3 linked regions of the Lepisosteus oculatus genome follow. The protein of the gene in region 2 purifies or fractionates together with the protein of the main gene of each other region. This does not show direct contact. Links are inferred from orthologs where the notes say so. Each region holds a gene or a part of one and is shown on either strand. Other genes may lie near its edges. The genes, in order: trim25, g3bp2a and caprin-1.

Evidence for each region.
Region 1: the proteins of g3bp2a (region 2) and trim25 purify together in Homo sapiens (affinity purification with mass spectrometry; 4 studies listed by BioGRID and IntAct, counting the BioPlex papers as one, with this or other methods). This does not show direct contact. The link is inferred for Lepisosteus oculatus from reciprocal best matches to the Homo sapiens genes G3BP2 and TRIM25.
Region 3: the proteins of g3bp2a (region 2) and caprin-1 purify together in Homo sapiens (affinity purification with mass spectrometry; 5 studies listed by BioGRID and IntAct, with this or other methods). This does not show direct contact. The link is inferred for Lepisosteus oculatus from reciprocal best matches to the Homo sapiens genes G3BP2 and CAPRIN1.

Annotation. Positions count from the first base shown.
Region 1 is NC_090704.1:46,864,619-46,872,551, reverse strand, and holds the start of trim25 (E3 ubiquitin/ISG15 ligase TRIM25), read right to left. Parts: upstream 3,038-7,933; 5' UTR 2,882-3,037; intron 2,387-2,881; 5' UTR 2,320-2,386; coding exon 1,717-2,319; intron 1,643-1,716; coding exon 1,547-1,642; intron 447-1,546; coding exon 213-446; intron 1-212. Other genes in the region: scpep1 (retinoid-inducible serine carboxypeptidase), read right to left, coding at 4,386-4,448, 4,969-5,132, 5,663-5,800, 6,290-6,403, 6,759-6,843.
Region 2 is NC_090696.1:72,269,145-72,276,165, forward strand, and holds the start of g3bp2a (ras GTPase-activating protein-binding protein 2), read right to left. Parts: upstream 3,043-7,021; 5' UTR 3,018-3,042; intron 2,865-3,017; exon of another isoform or gene 2,612-2,864; intron 2,273-2,611; exon of another isoform or gene 1,501-2,272; intron 473-1,500; 5' UTR 457-472; coding exon 362-456; intron 109-361; coding exon 27-108; intron 1-26. Other genes in the region: uso1 (general vesicular transport factor p115), read left to right, coding at 6,979-7,021.
Region 3 is NC_090716.1:11,124,105-11,131,455, forward strand, and holds the start of caprin-1, read right to left. Parts: upstream 3,093-7,351; 5' UTR 3,002-3,092; intron 2,329-3,001; exon of another isoform or gene 2,171-2,328; intron 951-2,170; coding exon 768-950; intron 1-767. UniProt on the Homo sapiens protein: mRNA-binding protein that acts as a regulator of mRNAs transport, translation and/or stability, and which is involved in neurogenesis, synaptic plasticity in neurons and cell proliferation and migration in multiple cell types.

The sequences.
Region 1 (7,933 bases), on a different chromosome or scaffold from region 2:
GGCTCTTTCCACGGGCTGCTTCTAGCAGGATGAAATCATTTCAAATCACCCTCTTTTGAACACATCAGTCATCTGAATGAAACGCCTTTTCAACACGCATATATATTTACTATCGTTGCTGTTAGATGTTTACAATTTCTCAGTTCAAATTGCCGTGCAGGATCTCCAGACGCAGTGCTGTAAAGCCAGTGGCACGAGGCTGGCGGCCCCACCTGCAGGAAGCTGATCTTGTGCTTCTGTGCCAGCAGGGCCTCCACGCGGCCCTTGGTGCTGGCCATCTCCTCCACGTTCATGCTCATCCTCTGCATCAGGCCCAGGATGCGGGTCTGGGCGCCTTCCTGCTCGTGATCCACAGCCCTCAGGGCCTCTCGCTCATCCTTCTCCAGCATCTCCTTCATCTGCCGGTACAGCTCCGCCAGGACCTTCTTCCTGGACTCCGCGGACTCCTGGACACCAGGAGAAGCCGACAGAGAGAGGAAAAGCTTGGTCATCGCGAGCAAGGCAGGGCCTGAGAGCGGAGGGGACTGCAGGTGTCTGGGACTCCCCGGCCCCTGGGGCCCTTCAGGAAGCAGGTGGACGAGACCCAGGGAGCAGTGAGCCACTCGCAGCCAAACAAGCAAGACTTGCCGAATCTTTCTGATCTTCTCTCGGTGTCTTTAAGCAGCTCTGCATTGAGATTTGAATTTGTAACTGAATTTATTCGGGCTTGAGCAAGAGGGGATTCGACTCAAAAATTCAAAGGTGCTCAGAGAGCTTGGTGGGCTGTCAGCCAGGGGGACAATCTAAGGACGAGGGCCCGCAGGTGGCGGGCGAGAAGGATGTGTACAGTATCCAGCTCATGGCAGGACACTCCTGTAACATCGGCACACCTCTCTGCCACGTACACGTCTGCAGGCAGGGAGCAGGATTGTTTATCACCTGCACCCTAGAAACGGCTCAGAAACATCCTCCTGAAACTGGTCTCTAGGGAGATGAGTCACGCACCGTCGTGCAGGCTGAGTCACGGCCGAGCACCACCCTCGTGTGCTCTCCAAGACCAACCTCCTGGGCGGCGTGAATATACAGTATATCCAATGACTTCAGTGAAAACTGGTCTGGGACTGATACAGTACAGTGGGATTCCAGGCCCTGACGGCCGGAGTCCAGAATGTTCTCTAGGTCTCGTCACTGAGCGGCAGGGTTCGAGCGGTAGAGGGGCTGAGGCTGTCGAAGAGAAACGCCGAGCTTGGCTGGACAGTGACTGAGCACCAGCCGCCCCACAGGCTCACAGTCCAGCAGAGCCAGTGGAGACAGAGTCCGGCTGTCAGCTGTAGCCTGTATACTCTTCCTCTGCACTGTGGCAACTTGACAGTATTAAACAAGGTGTTACTGCATCAAAATCTGCCCCTGTCCTCTCCCCTCTCCCCTCTGCCCCCTGCCCCCTGACCTCTCCCCCCTGTCATCTGCCCCCTGTCCTCTGGCCTCTGCCCCCTGCCCTTAGTCCCCTGTCCTCTGCTCTCTGTCCTCTCCCCCCTGTCCCCTGTCCCCTGTCCTCAGTCACACTCACCCGGACAGAGCTCTGCAGCTCCTTCATCTGTGAAACGACGATCTGGGTCTTCTCGATCTTCTCATTCAGCAGAGTCAGCTTCTCCGTCAGCTTCGCCTGTGAAGCAGGAGACAGGGCGCGGTGAGGAGGAGGAGGAGGAGGCGCGGGGGGCGGGGGGCGGGGGGCCGTACCTCCTGCTCCGCCCGCTGCTCCTGCGGCGTGGAGAAGCGGCAGGGCTTGTGCGTGAGCTGCAGGCAGAGGCTGCAGATGGCGCGGCGGTGCTGCAGGCAGAAGAACTCCAGCAGCTTGCAGTGCTCGGCGCAGAGGCGCTCCTGCAGGTCGGCCAGCGGCGCGCCCAGCTGGTGCGCCTGGAAGGCGGGGCTCTCCTGGTGGGGCCGCACGTGCTCGGGGCAGAAGGAGGCCATGCAGGTGAGGCAGGTGTTGCAGGCGCGGGCCTGCAGGCAGGTGTCGCAGAGCACAGACTCCGGGTCCGGCTCCGGCTCGTCCCCGTGCTCCGGCTCGTCCCGGGGGCCGGCGGCCGGCTGGGCCCTGGTGAAGGTGTCCACCACGGTGCTCAGCACGGTGTTCTTGCGCAGCTCCGGCTTGGTGTAGAAGTGGGTGCGGCACTGCGGGCAGTTGTAGCCAAGCGCCACCTGCTGGCTCTCTTGCCAGGTGGCCTCCAGGCAGCCCCGGCAGAAGTTGTGGCCGCACGGGGTGGTCACGGGGCTGTCGAACGTGCTCAGGCAGATGCTGCACACGAGCTCCTCCGCGAGGCTCAGCAGGGGCGACGCCATGTCAGCGCGCGGGTGGGGTGGTAGGGTGGGGGAGGCGAGCGCGTCACGGGTGCGTCACGGGCGAAACCTGCAGAGGCCGGGCGGAGGCAAGCCGGAAACGAAAACGAAACTTAACTGGAGCTCCCGAAGCGCAAACCTGGCAACGCAGAAGAGGCGATTACTCTTTCTACGAGTTACGATACTCTTTTTTTTTTTTTACCCTTAGGCAAGAAAAACTTCAAGACGAATAAAACAAAACATCAAATGGGCTATAATGCGTTTAAAAATGACTACATTAGGCCGCCCCTCGCTGTTATGGGCTCCAGTCCATGATCTCGAATAACAACACATTTTAAAGGTACTATAAACAAGACCGAGAGAGCAGACTGGTTGTCTGGAATCACTACATAGGCTCGACTGTGCGTGACATGAAAAAATACTTTTATACCCGATACTTAAGATGACTTTTTTACTCTACACGTCATTCCAGTTGTTCTGATCGCTATATATATACATATTTAAAGCGTGCGAAGGACAGCCTATCCGCCAGAGCTCACCGGGAGCGGCTGCGTGGAGGTCTTACCTGCACACCTGCGCGGCGAGACTGCGACTGTCCTCTGCCGGGCCGCCTGCGCGCGGGGCTGCGGGTCCAGCCGGTGCGCGCGACCTGCGCTCGCGAGGGCGAGATCCGCGGGTACGGCGCGCGAGCAGCGAGGCTGTGTCTGCAGTGTGTCCGCAGCGGTGTTCCTGATTCGCTCTCTCTCTCTCTCAAGCGGCGCCTCCACAGGTTCGTCTTGCGCGGTTTCAGCGTGTCGCGCAGGTGCGGCAGCTCTTCAGTGGAGGATGACAGGGGTCCCTCTGGCCAGACGAGTCGTCAAGACACTTACAATCGCATCCAAGCTGGATGCAAAACATGCAAACAGCAGAAATGCCGATGCTACATTCATGCTTAATATAGTTATGGTGACTGAGAAATGTACCTTCTACTCGTGCCTGTGTGTCTGCGTGTGTCCAGCGATGGGTTCTGGACCCTGTGCCTGGATAGTCTCTGACCCCCCTCAGCCCTGCACTGGAAGGAGCAATTAGAAAATGGATGGATGTACAGTCCCAGGGAAAACTAAAAACAGCAAGAAAACGCTGCCGAGACTTGAACAAGTGACACGCCTGACAAGTGACAGCCAGGGAAGCTGTTTGTGCCCGAGCCCTTGATATGTTTTCATCCTGCCACTTCCAAGCTGCTTCTTCCACTGCAGAGGCTCAGGGGAGCCGGAGCCTATCCCAGCAAGCACTGGGCACGAGGCAGGATACCCCCGGGACACACACAGACACACACTCACACCAGGGCCAATTTTCCCAGAAACCAATAAACCCACCAGCATGTCTTTGGACTGTGGGAGGAAACTGGGGCACCTGGAGGAACAAGGAAAACCTGGGGAGAACATACAGACTCCACACAGACAGCTCTGGAGTTGAACTGCAGTTACCTAAAGCAGCACATTTCCGAACCACTTCCTCCAGTCCAGAGTCATGGAGGAGCTGGAGCCAGTGCCCGATTTCCCAGGAGGAGGGAAACGCTAGTGACTGACGAAAAACGAGCTGAAACAACCTGCTTGCGATCGACTCCAGGAGCTCCAAATCAATAACTATCCGCTCTCTAGCAGCTAGTCTAGAAACTGAAGTATCAGAGTGATGGTCGCTCGACTCCGTCAGTCATGTGGTTCAGCATGAGAAGAGTTTAAAGTGCATCATGTCAGTCAACGTCATTCAACTGGCGTGTCCCCCTCCTTCTGCACGTATCAGAGTGAAAGTGCCCGGGGCCAGAACACCAGGAAAACAAGAGGCACAAGGCAGAGGACAACTGGACAGAAGATGAGATGAGATTTGTAAAAAAAACATCTTTTATTATCTTTACCAACAGTTTTAAAGCATTGTTCTGGAAATTAAAAAAAAACATTGTTTTTGGTACTTCCTCTTGACTTGCGAGCGCACTGAAACAGAGAAGGCAGCGGGAGTGGGAGTGGGTAGCAGTGGTCACGGTCAGTGGACATGATTGTCTCCGGCGATGGCCCCGTTGCCCTTGGCCCGGGTCACTCCTGCTGCGTCACCATCTTCAGCATCTCCAGGGCCATCCCGCCCTGGTCCGAAGGGATCTGAGAGAGAGGCGCGCAGTGAGACTGGGCCCGCGGTGCACCTCAAGTCTGACCAGGGGTGTCCAGTCGAGGTCCTGCAGGGCTTTAGTTCAGGTCAGCTGTTATTGACCTCTATCAGCTCACTATTGGCTTAACTGGACCAATTGAACAGCCTCTTGCAACCTGCTCTTCAGGTGGCTCTGCTTTAAAGAGGCCTAGAACAGCCTAGACAGGACCCCCCCTCTCCCCTGGACACCCCTGAACTGACCCCTCACCTGCTGACCCCTGTGTTCTGTCTATTTAACTTAAGTTTGGTTTCCAGACGAGAAACCTTTCCAATGACCATTTGTAATCTTTTGTGTGGGGATTATAGCCTGGTGAGTTTTCTTTAACGCGTGTTCAGTCAGAAAATGTTCAAGCTTGTTTTGTTTTGTCAGTCAATCATGATTTAAAAACAGTACAGCAATGTTAACGCCATGTTTAACCGTGGGCTGGGCAGGGGGGATGTTATCACACCATCAGGGTGCCTGTGCAGTGTTACCATGTGTCCGGCCTTGAGGATCCAGTAGAAAGCGAAGTTCTGGTAGGTCTTGTAGAAGGCTCCCGTCTGGCCATGGGAGGCGGGGTCATCCACAGCTGTCCATCTCATCTTACTAAATGCAGGAAGTCCCGCCCACTTCAGCCTCTTCACCCAGGCCTCCTGACCTGCCAGGAACACAGCACACAGCCCCGTCACTGGCACTCCACGACCTCACCCAGGGGCAGCTGCTGCCGCGGGCCACACCTCCTGTACGGGAAGCTACTGCTGTAGTGCCTGAGGTTAAGGGCTCATTACCAACAGGCTGGTTCTCAGTTCAAGCCCAGGCTGTGCCTCTGATTCGGTGTGTCACCCTGAGCCAGTGACTGCAGGCAGGACCCACTCTCCGTGACACCCCTCCAGGGCACCACTGAACACCCCTGAACTGGTCATTCTCAGGGGAGAAACACCCAGGTCTCTGCAGCACCAGATTGTCTCCCTTGAAATAAACCAATTATTCTTCTGCCACTCATCCTCATGAGACAAGCTTGATCACACACCGTTTTGAAATGTAAAACAGGCAGAGGTGAAGGACTGTGGCGTTTCTATGCTGTCTGTGCTCCTGCTTGGACACCAGTGTTCTGGGCACTAATGACAGGCTCTTGTCTTGCTCCTGCTCCTCGGACCATCTGTGTGGTGTGCAAACTCAGGGCCATACCCATGGTGTCCACGATGAGGTCCAGCTGTCCATTGTAGACAGTCACATTGACCCCGGCTGCCAGAAGCTGGTCCACTATGTCCACCACTGGCTTCATGAAGTCCCCCTCCATGCTGACGAAGACGTCCGAGGCCTGACCTGGGGAGACAGGCACATGGGTATGTGTCCCTGCAGACTGGACCAGCGTGACCTGTGACCACGTGCTGTGCAGGAAGCCCTGGGAGACACCTGTCCCACTGCAGGAGCCCACTGGAGAAACCACTGCTGCCCAGCCAGGATCCTGCAGGACCCTCAAGCCACGGCAGGCAGGGGTCGCCTCCTGTCCCACCAGTGCGCTGGGAGGTGGGTCTCTGCTGCGCCCCTCACCAGCCCGGACCCCTCTGACAGAGACGCAGCCCCTCAGTGCGCCCGTCTCTGCTGGTCCAGCTCACCGTCACGGTCACTACGGTCCACAGACGCTCACGCACTGTAATTCAGATCCCGAGCGATGGTCATGTCGGGCAGGTCATTAGGGGATCAGGCGATCCCAAAGACCCTGTGGATCCCCCGCGTGGGGAAACAGGAGCAAACACAGGGAAGGGAAGTGCAGAGCGAGACCGGGGGTCCCTCGGCTGGCCTGGCACGTACCTCCCCAGGTGACCCGGCTGGGAATGATCTTGAGCTTGTCTCGGATGGGCCCGTTCATCAGCTGGCTGAGCGTCTGTCCGTGCAGCGGGCCGAGGCAGCGGCGCTGCAGGGAGACTGCGGGAGACAGCGGGAGCGGGGCTGAGCGGCCGGCGCGCGGAGGGAGAAGATCGGCGGCCGCCAAGAGCACGAGCGCACGACGGGTCTCGGGGATCTGACACCGCGGCGCCGGCGTCGGGCTGGAGTGTGTTTAAAGACACGTTAGGGTGCCATTGTCAGTCTTTGTGCCCACAGTGCCCAAGAGCAGCCCAGAGCTCACTCTCCGTCAGGAATGAAGACCCCAGGGCGGGCAGAGGCTCCCCTGACTGCTGGAGGCGATCTGGGAGGAAGAGAGCCCCCCCCTCAAGAGGAGCAAGGGCTCAACACGGCAGGAAACCCGGCACTCGGGAGAAAAAGAAAGGCTCGTTTTTACCACGGTATCCATTTTTTGCCACAGCCTTCCGTGCCTCATCGGGGTCCTGGGTCAGGATGTTGTAGAAGTTCACCCCGTTGGTGTTCTGAAAGGGCAGGACAGGGTCCAGAGTGACCGAGCGCTCCTGTCCACCGGGGAGGTCATGACCGGACAGGGGCAGGGGCAGAGCTGGACCGAAACTGCCCCCAGGGTAGCCTGCCACAGCTCAGACAGGAAACTAAAAGTTCAACTACGACTTGAATGGTGAATGGGTGCCTAATCTGACCCACAGCCCTGCCCGCCCAGTGGGCGACTCGCTAAGTGTGCTGGATCATGCCAGACCTCTTCCCTCCTGCTTGAAGAAAGCAGTTGTTCCACTGGGAGAGTGGATCCTGCACCGCCTCCAGGGCCGTGTGAGCACGGCCCGCGCCCCTGCTCCCAGAGTGCCGTGTGAGCTCGGCCCGCCCCCCTGCTCCCAGAGTGCCGTGTGAGCACGGCCCGCCCCCTGCTCCCAGAGTGCCGTGTGAGCGCGGCCCGCCCCCTGCTCCCAGAGTGCCGTGTGAGCGCGGCCCGCCCCCTGCTCCCAGAGTGCCGTGTGAGCGCGGCCCGCCCCCTGCTCCCAGAGTGCCGTGTGAGCGCGGCCCGCCCCCTGCTCCCAGAGTGCCGTGTGAGCGCGGCCCGCGCCCCTGCTCCCAGAGTGCCGTGTGAGCTCGGCCCGCCCCCCTGCTCCCAGAGTGCCGTGTGAGCACGGCCCGCCCCCTGCTCCCAGAGTGCCGTGTGAGCGCGGCCCGCCCCCCTGCTCCCAGAGTGCCGTGTGAGCGCGGCCCGCCCCCTGCTCCCAGAGTGCCGTGTGAGCGCGGCCCGCCCCCTGCTCCCAGAGTGCCGTGTGAGCACGGCCCGCCCCCCTGCTCCCAGAGTGCCGTGTGAGCACGGCCCGCCCCCTGCTCCCAGAGTGCCGTGTGAGCGCGGCCCGCCCCCTGCTCCCAGAGTGCCGTGTGAGCGCGGCCCGCCCCCTGCTCCCAGAGTGCCGTGTGAGCGCGGCCCGCCCCCCTGTTCCGAGAGTGCCGTGTGAGCGCGGCCCGCCCCCTGCTCCCAGAGTGCCGTGTGAGCGCGGCCCGCCCCCCTGTTCCCAGAGTGCCGTGTGAGCTCGGCCCGCCCCCCTGCTCCCAGAGTGCCGTGTGAGCACGGCCCGCCCC
Region 2 (7,021 bases):
TATTTCCCACAGGAAAAAAAACTTACAGCTTGACCATAAACAGCTTCTGCCGGCTTCCCATTGGAATCCAACCCTCCGTGGACATAGGAGGAGTGCCTCCCGTAGAACCTAAAGCAGAAAAGCCGGGATCACAGGTGAGATCATTTTGCATGGCAAACCCTAAACCGAGGCAGCCACGCAAATTAGCACAGGGGGAGTGTTCAAACCTATGTGCAATCTCCCAACACGTACTTGCACAGTAAGTCTGATACTAGGAAGGAATATAAAAAAAAACAAAACAGCAAAACCGCAGCAAAAAAAGCTTTCCCTTTGGCCGGTACTGGCCTGCAGCTACGAGGGGGTTGAACTCCTTCTCCCTTACCTGTGCAGAAAATCTGGTGCCTTGTTTAACAGGGTGTAATACTGCCTCACAAACTCCCGCCCTACAAGCAGGGGACTTGGCTTCTCCATCACCATTTCTTTGGTAAACGTGCTGAAAGAAAAGCAGGGGGAGGGGGACATGAATTCAGCGTGGCCCCGGAAGTTAATCACTGCGAAAGGTCACTGCTGCCGACAGCAACCTCCTCCATGTGCAGCAGGTCATGATCAGAGCTATGCAAGGGTCTATGGAACAAGAACGGCGATGCATTTTTAGATGCCCTTCTGTTGTTCACAGAAAACAAAGAAATATTCCATATTCCCCACCACTTCTTTCAGAGAGTGGGGGGGGGGGGATCATTTATTTTTTATGACGCCTCAGAATTTCAAAATACAGGCACAAGTTCCAAATCTACTTCCTATGCCTTTTCCCAAACATACTTTACTTTTGATGCACAAAGATCATAGCGCCCTGGAGATCAGTAAAGGCCAATGCACACAAGTAGACAGCTGTATGAATTATGCAGGGAACCTTAATACTAAATTGTGGTGTGGGGGCAACATAAAGTTATGAATTGAGGAAAAAAAGGCCAAAAATGCTGAACAAAAAAGTGCTTTTTTTTCCCCCAGACCTGTACAAAAAAAAGGTAAAGAAAACTGGAGGTGGAAACTCGCGCAGCCTGTGTTTTGTTTCTCTTGGCCGAATCGAGCGCCGTCTATTAAGCTGCATGTGGGTCCAATCCTTAAAAAATGTATCACCCCAGCCTTTCGTTTGCAAAATGAAACGAGTTGTTTACGCCCGGCTCATCAATGCCGTTCAGGCACATGGAGACCGTCAAGCTCGGGGGCGAGAGGAGGAGAGATACAGGACGATGCCGCAGGGTTAGTCCTCCGTGAAACAACGTGATCCAACACTATTGACCAAATAAGCTACGTCCCGTCGGGTTTTGCTCGCACCCCTCACGAACACACGGCCAACAGTCGTGTTAACTCCAGCGAGCAGGTAATAACCAGCGCCTCCACGGCGCCTAACGCTGCCAACTTCCTGCAAGCAACACCTTAGCCGCGTTCAACTGCGCCATCAGACACACTTCCGCGCAACACCACCACCGCTAACAAAACCAACCACCCGCAACGAATTACTTTAAAAAACGCGTGTTTCGTTCCTCCACCACGTTGGATCCCGAGTCCACCCGAACCTTCCCGGGTGGTTTCTTAAATGTTCCACAATGTTTCACGTCTCCCCTGCCCCACGCTCGTCAGATCCCCCGCACACCCGGGTGGGAGGCTCGCTGGGAAACGGCGGAAGGCCCTCCAGCGCAACGGGGACGAAATCGCATTTGCACGGTTCGGCCCGGCACCACGGCACGAAATCGTGTCACCCCGTTGCACGACAGTCCGTACGCGGATGCGGAGGAGGAGGGGGAGCAGTCAGCTCGGGTCTTTTCTAAGTTCTCAGGAGTACAGCGCGGCCTTCATTAAGAGCCGCCGTCCTGCAGCGACGCAATGTGCATGTAGTAGTAGTAGGTCGGTCGCGTCAAAAAAAAAAAAAAAACAGTCTGAAATCAAGCGTTTCTCCCGCAGCAAGACTGTCGGACACGACACTGGCCGCCAGCACCCGTCAACTCCTGTGCGAAAAGCCGAGGCCGCTGCCGCACACGAGAGGTGTAACCGCGGCTGTCTGGGCTGCTTCAGTCGCGCTTCCGAGAAAGAGCGATAGTGAAACCGGCCGGGGGCTCATGGCGGTGCGCGTTATGGCGTCGTTTCTTTTGTGTTAAAATCAACAGCCCCGCCAAGTGCACAAAATAACACGTTAATCCGCGCCCAGATGGGTGTACATCAACGGTTTTTTTTTTCCTTCGGTCTTTTAGCGAGGTGTGTAAACAAAGATAATGCACGAAAAGCCAGCAGGTAGCGTGCTCGACATCACGTTAAAAAACACCGCTACTGTACACAGTTACACAGGCCTTTTCTGATCTCGCCGCTCAAACGCAACGCGAGCTCTTCAAAACGACACACAATTGGAAAAAAAATACCAAGAATGTCCCTTTTCACTAGAACTGGTCTGAAAAATAGAAGAAAAATCCAAACGTGCTAAATATCCCTTTTCATGTTAGAAAATGCACACGCCATACCCCATCTTTACGTAACCAAAAACAAATACAAAATAAGGTGAAGTGATTAATATCAAACCACCAAAACACGGGAGAATAACAAAAATTACCCAAATTAAGGCAAAACAAATCGAACTTACCTTTTAAACACCTACCTAAATCAACACAGTGATTAAAGAGAATGGCGATTAATACTGAAGATAAAGCTAGTCAGTTAAACACGGAAACAGGTATTTCTCTGGGGAAAACGGATTAATTTCTGATTTTTTTTCCCCCCACCTTGCCCTAGGACTCTATGATCTCTGTTTAATCAGAGATTGGGATTTAAAGCGATAGATTCTATCTTATTGTCTCACCCCTGCTCTCCGGGGCAGGGAACCCCCGTCACACTCAACAAACCAATAAAAACCTCACATTGGACAATACTTATTGTGACGCAAAAAGCGAGTGCTTTCCCGCCCGCCTCCCGCGCCGCCGGTCCAGCGCTTCGAGATTATGACGTCACAAAGACCCTCCGATACTACGCGATTATTTATTAATATTTACCTCTGACGTCCTTATCCAGAAGTCCCTCGGTTTAAAACAATAAATAAATTAAACAGTGCAAAAAATTCATAATGTAGCGCTGTGTGAAAACAATAGATTTAGAATAAGACATTAACTAAACCAAAAGCAAGGCACACAAATAACAAGCAGAAGTAATAATAAGCTTTATTATCTGCCAGACACATTCTTGTACACATTTATTATCTACGAATTCTTCTACTTGTGTATCATCATGTAGTATTGCTATTGCTGCAGCCTGTGCCTTTTTTTCCCTGTCTTGGTCACTACTTCCTATTAAATCATTTGCTTGCAATTCTAAAATGGTACAATCAGATTTTAAAAAACGACCTGAATGCAAATTAGAGCGAAAACGGTAACACATAGATTGTACAACTTGATTCCGAGGTTCCAATGTTCAGTTTAAGCCACTTGCTGAACTTCATGCCTTGTGTCAGCCAGTGTCTCTCCTGTCAGCTCTTGAGTAGCTTTTCTCTCTAATGTTCCTCTGTTTACATTTTCTTGAGCCTCCTCCTGTGCCCTCCCCAGTTCTGTGTCTCCTGAATTTCCTCTTCAGACTCCTCCCTCTCCTCTCAGGACGTTTCTGACAGAGAAACATCCAAAGGACCTGCAGTTTCAGTACAGTCTCTGGATAATTAACTCATGACAGTGTCTAGTCCAAAACACAGCTCTATTGAACCACGACTGAAGCCTGTTTTTGAATCTTCTAATGTGGTAACCCTGCATTATGCCACAGTCTCCATCAGGGGTAGGCATCCCTATCGCTCTAGTGTTGTTTGCTGTGTTTATTCCATCTCAGACTTTCATGACTTGAATTAACCAATTAGGTCAGTAAGAAATCAAATCAGCTGTGTTTACAAGGGTTCAATGTTGCCCTTTTCTGAACTTTAGAGTTCCGTGTCTCTGTGTTTAAACCTTGATTCCATGAGAAAGTCAGCAATTAGTGAACTTCAGGGGGACTATAGACAAACAGGGGAGTGAAAGATGTCCCACAGGAGGGTTGCAATTATACAGACAAAAAAGGCACAGATAGTTATTTTTTCTGGGCTGGACATATATAATCCATATGAACTCAGTGAGACCCACCTGTGTTGTTTGATGTTAGTAGTTTCTGAAGAGCATGAAGCACATCAGGAAAGAGCAGTATCTAATGGGCAGTAGTTATCAGCAAAAACACAAAATATGACACTTTAAAATAAAAGATTTTAATCTGGCCGTTCAATGGCAGTTAATTAAATTAATGTTTTAATTTTACTCACATGCTTTTTTAAGAGACAGACTTTAAAAATAAAGCCAATTACAGAACACAATAACAAGTAATGTGATATTTGTAAGTATTCTAGGAAAGGCTCAAATAATAACATACAGAATCACAGAACTGCACACTTAAATTAAACTTTGACCTGTATACATTAACTGTGTAAAAAGCACAATTCTTCCACCATAGTATAGACTAACAATATTGAATAAGTTAAGGAAACAGTATGACATCGTATAAGTTGTGCCTGCAATGCTTGACTGATCAAAGGCAAACATGATCAATCAAAAGATTGTTCATGTTTCAAAGATGGCTAAATTCTAAATAACTAGCATCTCTAAGAAATAAGTAATAGGTTTATTCCATGCTGAAAAAAAGAAGAAAGAGAACACAACGTTTTGGCCGTGGAGCCTTCTTCAGGTGTCTCTAAGAAATGGCTGGACTGTGGATCTGTAACAAGGGGGAAGGGGTAGATGTACCCCTGCAGAAAAGACCAGTCAAGACATGAGCTGCATATAAAACAGCAAGAAACAGCTGAAGTTTTGAACTTTAGGGCTCTCAAGGGGAAAGGCATTTAACTCAGTGTGTTGGTGTGCATACAGTAGCTAACTCATTAAATAGTCTTGACAAGAAACCAGTACTTTTAATGGTTATAAAACAGTTTATAAAAAAATACAAGTGGTTAAAGAAAAAAGTTTAAAGAGAAAAATTTGTATACACAATGAGCTCACAGTAGAACAAACTGGGCATAGTCATTTCTCAGAAAAATGTCTGAAGGAAGATTTTCAGAAAAAGTACAGTAAATGTCAAATATGAAATATGAACATATCTCATCTGTTCTCCTAGGTGAGGTCGTTTGAATTGCAGTGGTCACCTGTTTTGTGACATGCCCAAGTAAATTTTTGCTTTGATGTGAATTTGTGTATCTAAAGGAAATAATCTGAAATACAACCAAATAATCACTGAGGACATATTATTAAAACTAGCTGTTGCTTGCATGAAAAAAAAAAACATTTTAGAGTTGTTTGAAAACTTTGCATTCTTCCCACTTTCAAATGCTTAAAAAATACAAATAGCTGAATTATAAATAAAGAATAAAAGATGTTACTGTCATCAGAAATAAAAATTACGATTGATAATTTTATTTTATTTTTTAAACTTAATTACTGTGCATTGGAAATTGTATATTGTATATTTGTTAGAAGCTGCATGCAATGAAGTTGCATTGTGATTCCAACCAGCAATGGTAAAATCATTATTTTTAATCTTGAACAAAGAAGATTATGAGAGAACCAAACTCAAGACGTCAAAATCTTAAAAAGCCTAGATAAAAGCAGTACTACTGAATGAAAGTCTTCAGAATCAACACTGAAATATGAACCAGAAGGCACAAATAGAAACTACATGCACAGGAAGTGCATTTTAAAACAGAGAACAGGTGGCACTTCCTGCTGTGGGGTGTGGGAGTGTGCAAGAAGCTGCCTAGCCATATCAGCTAGCTACTGAAAAACTGAATTAGACAGAGGGACAGAATGGTCTCTTCTTGTTTGTAACCATTCTAGTATTCTTATATCTGCTAAAGTACAATGATCTGTTTGCATGCTTGTCTTCCTGGTGTCCAAGCCAATGGTGGGGACACAAGCGAACAGTTGTTCACATAGGGGCACCGTGTGATCAATAGCACACATGAAGGTTGGTGACCTTCAACCATCCTTGTAAAAAACAATGTCATTACAAAATGATGAATTGACATATCAGACGAAACATTAACACTCAAACTCACTTCATGCATCACATGTTTAACTTGCATGTTGGGCTATCTCTTCAAGGTGTTTCAGTGTAAGTTAAGATTTTCATTACCAAGTCTTTTGTTGATGTTGGGTATTTTCCAAGCACCACCTTTAAGACCAACTAACAGATTGCTTCAAAGTGTTGGACTGTTAAGTGTTGCTTATTGCCTTTGTTTTGAATTCTAAACTACCACAATGCAAGCGAATTTGCAAAGCCCTGTCATAATAGCGAAATGACCACCTGTTAGATGAAACACCCCCTTTTTTTTAAATGAAGCAAATGCCTGCAAAAAAAATAAGTATAGAAGAACAATTACAAATGTTATTTAATAACCGTCCAATGTCACAAAGGTGTTCTTTGGTCCAGAAACCTTGGGATTCTCAGTTTGTCTAAGGAGGACCCCAGAAAAGGCTTTCTTTTTTTTGCAACCAGTCCTGCAATCCTGGTTTTGTTCTGGTGCCACTTGAAAGCTTATCAGGGCCACCTACAGTCATGCTTTCGGTTGTATAAGCAAGTGTAACCCTTGTTTGTAATAGTTACGAACCGAAATGAAATCCCGTGTTTAAAAATCGCCTTCCGTCTTGCGCAAGACCAGCCGGGGAAACCGGAAAACCATGGGGCGCCATGACCCCCCGAAAGGTGAAGGAGGTCCTGTCACTTTAAAAATCACCTCTGGCCCTGTGAGCAGCCACGTTTCGCCACGTCTCCGCGCCTGCGCAGCGCGGTGTTCCAGTGCTGTTCCGGGGTAGCTGTGTGTGTCAGTGTCCCACAACAAGATCGGTCTGGGGGGGAAAGGGATCGAGGATCGGAGTAACGCTTGGGATCGCAGTACAACCAGCCGCGGCCCCGGTCATTTTCATAACACTAAAGCGCTTCGGCTTGGTGGGGGGAGACATGAATTTCCTGCGGGGAGTGATGGGAGGGCAGCCGGCCGGGC
Region 3 (7,351 bases), on a different chromosome or scaffold from region 2:
AAAATGGTTTCGCTTAGCGAGAAAGGGGGGAGCCCCCATCTCTGTAAAGACATCTAAAACATAAAGATGTCTTATTTTAAATGGTCCAGCGAAGTGACGCAAGGTTCATTAACTCAACGCCTCAGTCCCCAGCCAGAAGTCAAATCCCTGCAGCTAAGTACCAAATTATACTGCAGCTTCCGATGACAAATGGAAAATGTAAGAAACTGACAAACAGATCAGAGATCAGACAGATGAACCCACACTGTCTAACCATGCACCCCGTTTTTACTCTTATCTGTCAAGACTAATGTTGGATCGACATGACTGCAAAGAAATACCTGACATTTCTTAAATTGTATTGACATTACTATAAATGTTGTGATGCATATGATTCAGGAAAGTCTCAACATTCTTGATTGTGTGCCTTCCTACCAGATGCATTCTTAGGCAAACTTTTTTTTTCCTTAAAAGTCTGATAATGATTACATCCGTTTACTAAAATACCCTTACCAGGGGGCAAAAAGTAGAACCCCTCCATGATGTCACACCATCAGTGAGTCTCAAACTAGGTAACACACACAAGGCAGTGCTATGTGGTGCTTTGCACCCAGCACCCAGAAAGAGTTAACACTCTTACAGGTCCCAGAAACATAAACCCCTCTAGACAGTACTGTGTGATATGCAAACATGTTGTTGCAAATGCCATTTCCTTAACAAGGACCACTTCACCGGAGTGTGTGGGGATTCCCAGGTGATGGCTGTCCTGACTCCACCTGAGACTTTACCTTTTTCTTTTCCAGGTTACGGACTTTCTTGTCAATGACACCAAGCACCTGCTTCATGGCCTCCGTCTGAGCCCCGGACTGGAACTGCCCGGGACCGGAGAGCTGGCCCAGCGGACCGGGAGCGGACCCCACCTCCGGACTGGAGGACTGCACCGTCCTGTTGCCAATAGTCGCTGAGGGCATCTGAGCAGGCAAGGATGGAAGGGATGGCAAAACAAAAAAAAAAGGGTTAGTCAGTGTTGCAGTGAGATTGGTCAGACCCTACAACTCCAACATCTTAATCTGGAAAAGCAGCAGGAAGACTTGGAAATCCTGCACTTGAGGCTTAGCGCTGCTGAGCCATCAGTGTGTTTGGGTGACTTGACAGCAGTGAGATCTGTTGACTTGTCATCGGTGTCTGAGACGGTTCAACAGCGTCGAGAGCCTGGGAAGTTTCTACCATCATCCAGCAACCGTTTTGAGACGAATTAAAGACCGAAATCAGAGTGCCCGGGCCAGTGGGCGCTGGGACCCGACACTTGACAGCCGTAGTTTTATTCCAGACCGCAGCCTGACTACTCTTCTCCACCAGAAGGGGTCGGTAGAGAGTACAGCAAAACAAAGGCCTTCATTTAGCGGAACAATGTCTCTGCAGCAATTAAGGCACACACTGCCAAGACGTCAGTCAGAACTACCTGGGCCGAACTAACGAGATCACCTTCTTGCCCCTCAGTTTTCTTTCGGCTGAAATCAGTCAAACTACCTACTGAATCCCCCCCCCCCAGAAAGAAGTCAACAGAAACTCGTGATTAAAAATGCAGCCATCATCCACGACAATACCTCCACCATCCAGACTGTATATTTCAGCAATAGAAAACAGCAGCAGCAGCAGCCAGAGGGAAAATCGCTGGCCATGGTCTGCGTGCGTGTTCTTATTTTTACACAAAAAAAAGAGAAACTTTGTAAAATATCTATGGCCAACTCTCTAAAACACGAACAGTAACTTTCCGTAGAAAGATCACCCCCCCCCCCCAGCTAGTTCATGTTGTGGAAAGGCCAGATTTCTCCGTCCGGTTACGTGCAATGATGCCCCGTTAAACTGGTAAAACCTTCCGATTTGCAGCCCCTAAACTCCAGCAGGCAGACCTTACCCTCCCCACCCCCTCCCTTTCTTCTCGGTCATTCTTCTGCTCACTTCAGCCGTTACATTGGAAACGGAAGCAAGAGCCAACAGTGCCAGTGTCCCAGGAAATACCATCTTACAAAATCATCCGCACACGACAGCCGGTATAATCCTCTTCCCCCACACGAGTTGCCTGTAAATTGCGAAGCCACTGAGGTGGTTGGGTACGCATTGTGTTTTTAAACAATCGCCTTCCGCCGAAAACGCGTCGTTCCCCTCCAGTTTCGTCGGGAGTGCTTACCTTTTCAGTTTCTATTTATCCACAAGGGAATAAATAATGACTTTTTGAATGTTAAATTGTTTTAGTCTGTAATGATGTTGCTTTCTTTTTATTTTATTTTTTTTTTCTTCTGGGATCCGCCCCGCCGGCCGCACCGACAACTGAGGGAGACCAACCGGAGCGGCAACACTTTATATGGAGGAAGGGCCCCCGTTATAGCTGCCTGAGGATCTGCCTGAACTTGAGTTAAACGTATCAAACCTTATGTAACAAAAGTAAAAGAGACAGGCATTTTCCAACTCCCTAGAGCACATTTCCAAATTATTTCCTACCCGCATATCTCTAAATTTAATCTAAATTGCTCCAAGGCAGGTTTTTTTGTCGATAGTGTCGGAACAGGCAAGCAAGACGAAGCTCGTCTCCTGTTTCCTATGCATTTCCATTTTAACATGCCTGCATTATTCTCTGGAAACACGCAGTTTTGCTTCTTCAGACAGTTTGTGTCACGTTACATTGGTAGAAAACGTAAGGCAACTTTATGTTATACTTCAAGAACACCGAAAAAAACGCCGTGCTTATTTAATGTAGTCTTTCTCGAAGAGCGTGACATTTCACTATGGGCAGTTGATCACCAGGCTTAACTGCAGTAACAAAATACATTCATAGCAATTGCTGACTGCTGTTATATAAGAACGCGTGGAGCCGGAGTTTTAATTAATTCGTCTTCTTTGGGTAGAAATACATATTTATTTTGGAATATCTCGTGTCCATGCTATCGCCACAATCACAGCCCTATATTATATGCGCTGTTTTAAAAACAGGCACACTTAAAAGTGAGCACATTTTCTGTACCTCGTTCAGTTCTGCTCCGTCAGAGTCACTGCCTGGGGAAAGAAGGACCCAAAGTGCTCCTGCAGAGCGCCTGTCCAAAATGAGCTGCTACTGTTGATGATGTCACACACGACCATGACATACAGCTCCACTTAGCCTTGGAGGGTGTCCGGATTGATTGCAAATTGTAACACTAACATTTCATGTATAAATACGAAATACAAGTAACATATTCTTCTTTCATTATTTCATGCTGATTGAAGGAGGCCAGTGCCATTAACTGATAAACATTTTATATTCCAGTGTATACAGCTTTTTGCCACAGTATTAAATTATACAGGCATTAAAAACGTAACGCTCTTGCATCCAATAGTCATATGCAGCCCGTTTAATGCCTCTCTATATTGCTATAAACGGAAAAATCCTTACGCTTTACCTACTAACAGTGATTAGTCGGCTTTCACGGGATTAAATTTGATACACGCAAGTACATACAGTATGTCCAGTATGGTATGTTTTACGTCATTAATTCTGGAGTTTGTGGTAGCACTACACTGCCAGTTCAGCAAAAATGTTCAAATTGATTTGTAAACGAGTTTGTTATTGCTTTTTACACATACAAACATAACCATTTTCAGACATCGAAATATAATGCGTATTATTACCCAGTATGCATTTTAAAGTCTATTACAAGTTCAGTATCACAGCGTAACAATAAATGTAATAATTTTACAAACTATATATATATATGTACTGTTGTCCAATAAGGATACAGAATTTTGTAGTTGCATTATGAAGACAAATACGATTGTTCAAAGCAATTCACAAGAATTCAATGTCGTGTTTTTTTCTGTACAGGCTGTGATTTAATTTTTATCAGCAGAAATATTTTATCATTGAAGACCACTCCAAACAGACTGAGACAACACCACATAACTATGCTGTAAAATCTCACAGATTTGTCACTAAGTTTATGAAGAGCCATACTTTATGAGTCAGCAGTAAGTGATCTGTTCAAAGAAAAAATAAAAATTTAAATCCCTTTTGAACAGATTTCTATTAACATACATCAAGTAGTTTAACAACATTAAAGAAAGCTAAAAAAGGATGACAAATGAAAGTTAAACACATCTTATTAAAAAAAAAACACTGTACGAGCCAGTCCAGACTGGCACAGATTTTACATTAACACAACAAAGATTAGATTAACTGTTTTTTGTGAGCTCAATTCCTGAAAAATGAGATCAGGTAAGCCTGAGTGAGTGGTGCATAGTTTGGGAGAGATACTTTTATATAAAAAAAGTAGCATGGTAATTGATCAATGACAGACTTGTTCAAAGAATGTATGCAATGCGACGGAGAAACCTCAAGGTGGGATTAAGTCTTGATGCTCTGTGAGGTAAATGTACACATGGTGTTGCTGGCACATCCTGGTGTATACTTATGTGCTAGGAATGAGTATTTCCACACGTGTCATCTTGTGCTGGTGGGTCTTAGTGCACCCAAATAAGTCTATTTTTGGAGCTGAGTGAAGACTGAGACAATGTTGACTTATGTTTGGTTGCGTTCTAATACCACAAATAGGACCGGCTTTGTATCCCAGTGTGCACAATAGAAATGCCCCTAGTCTCACTCTTCAGTTTATTTGTATCCTCTTCTTGCTGTGGGAGATGTGGACTGGGACTTATTCACCCTGAAGAGGCCTGCACACCTTAAATGCAGCAGGTAATTTGAAGAAGGCCATCCGACAAATTATCCTCTAGGAGAGCCAAACCACCATTAGGAGTGACAGTTTGAAAATATACCAGATGATTTCAGGTTGCAATATGGCTATTGCGTGGAACTGTTCTTCAACCACACATTCAATTCCTATTCACTAACGTTTAATAAGGGGGTCTAAAACAATCTAGTTGAAGCCTACCCTCATTTCCCTAATACATCATTGAATTAAAATAGACTACAGTATAAGAAAAAATATCTACATACAGTAGATATAGTGTTTTTAGACCATTGACCATGGGTACTCTCTGGGGTTTGGCACATGTCCAACTTTGAACACTGTCCAAAATAATGGGCAACACTTTAAGGAGGTGACATTGACAATAATATGCGAATTGCTCATTGAGATGAATCTGGTTTTGCTTTACTTGCAGTCTCTATGGTATGGTATCTCTATGGTGCACAACCAAACCTTTATTAATTTATATGTTGATTGTCTGCAAGTGTCTACTGAATTGTATGTGCTTAAATTATGTGAAATCTGTTTATATCATAGATATAATGAATATCAACACTAGTCCATTGCAGGGCCCACACTGACACAAACACACACCAGAGCCAATTTCCCTAGAAGATAATTGTCCTACCAATATATCTCTGGACAGTGGGAGGACCAGAGGAAACCCACACGAACACGAGGAGATTGGACCCAGGGCCCCAGCACTGTGAGACAGCAGTGCTATCCACTGTGCCACCTGGATATCAACAGATGAATGCAATTACAAATCAAGTGTAGGATATCAGAAGAAACAGTGGGCAGCTAGTCTCCTGGTGAGAAAAAAGCAGCAGACTTAAATACACTTTATTATACAGAAAGCAATTTGCCTGATTCATATCACCACACATACCAGTCAAGCTGTAGGCTTCATAAGCATTCAGCCTACATAAAAGTCAGGTCTATATTTCAGCATGTCAGAAAATCCATTTTACAATATGAGATATTAACCTGTTAAATTAATGCATGCAGTTAAGGAGAATGTGGTGAATCTTGTTTAACAACTATCGCATTATTGCCAAGATTTACCTCCACTTAAATGCTGTCTGTGGGTTTTAGAAAAGTGTTCAAGAGCAGTCATGTGGAAATCACCATAGAACTAAAGTAAACACACAAAATAATAGTCTTTGTACAATCATTTTACATATTACATAGTTACATAGTTAACATACAGTTATCTCTACAACCTATTACTTTATTTGCTGTAGCCATATCTTTACTTTTAAAAGTCTTAACTGCAGGGCAGCACTCTTGTCTGGTATATTATTATATACTAATACTGTTATATGACGCAGTTCTTTCACAGGCGCTTGTGGTTGCCTTTCTGTACACAATTCCACAAGGGGGCAGTAGGTCTCTAGGTTTTGAAAGGGGGCCATAAACAGGCTTCAATGAAAACTCTTGATAAACGATTGCTGATATTATAACTGGTATTATAACATACATACTACTAATCATCATTGTCACACTCACTTGGGTTATGACAAGTGTACATATTTTAGAGTAATCATGGCAAACCCAGCAACTACATGAATATTCACCCTTAATAATGCCAGACATTTACGATACGTAAATGATTTGAAAAGATTATATTACTACCTTAATACATTATAAAGAGTACATTTATAATAAAATGAAATTGTTAAACCTGAATGTACAGTACTGTAGCCTCTGTGAAATATATTTCTAGAGGGTAGATGGATTAAATGGCAGGTTTATTGACGAAAGCTTATCAAGATATCTTTGAAACTAAGTAAGCCTGAACCTGACAAATTCTGGCTTCCAAGGTAAAAGGAAAACCAGGTTGCTACTGTATTTGCTGTTTGTGGTGCAGTGGGAAGTACCCTTCCTGTGTCACCTTTGGATGAGATGATTTGACAGCTACTTGGTTATGAAGGATCTCCTGGCATTGTTTGGTGGTAATCCTTGTGTCGTGGCTAGAACTGCTCTGGGCTTCCATAATCTGGCATCCAGAAAGCTCTCTTACTTCATTTGATGAAGCATTTTTTTTGGTTTGGCAGATACAGGAAGCAGTTAACATGGCTCCAACCCTCCTTGATTGCGCTCTTTGATTGAATGGCTGTTTTTATAGAAGGATAATACTGATTACAGTAGGGTCTCAAGGGATAATGAAAGCCCCTTCTGATGAGTGACTAATTTCCGCAACCTGCTGTGTTTCAAACAGACACCAGGACCTCCTTCATCTTTAAATAGGAGTCCTCTCTCAGTTCTGCTTTCTCATGTACATTTTTATCAGGTTCCCAACTCAGCCCTCATTTGCCTTAGGTTGTTATGGCAGAGACACTGTTCCCTGGAAAAATTTGGACAGGAACAGAGGCCAAGCCTCTAAAAATATTCCACAAGCATTCCAGGAAATTGTACAGTACATTCGGAAAACCTTCTACCACACAGAGAATATTCCTGTCTACAAGAGAAATTAACGTATTTTATTGTGATTTTACACTAATGTTTCTGTGGGGGTGTTTATAGTTGATGGCCCTTCCTATCAAGGAAGTTTTAATGTATAAAGTAACAATTCAGTAACAATGCATTCTTTATTGATTGAATTAGGTATGTCATCCCTGTGTAGCACTGTG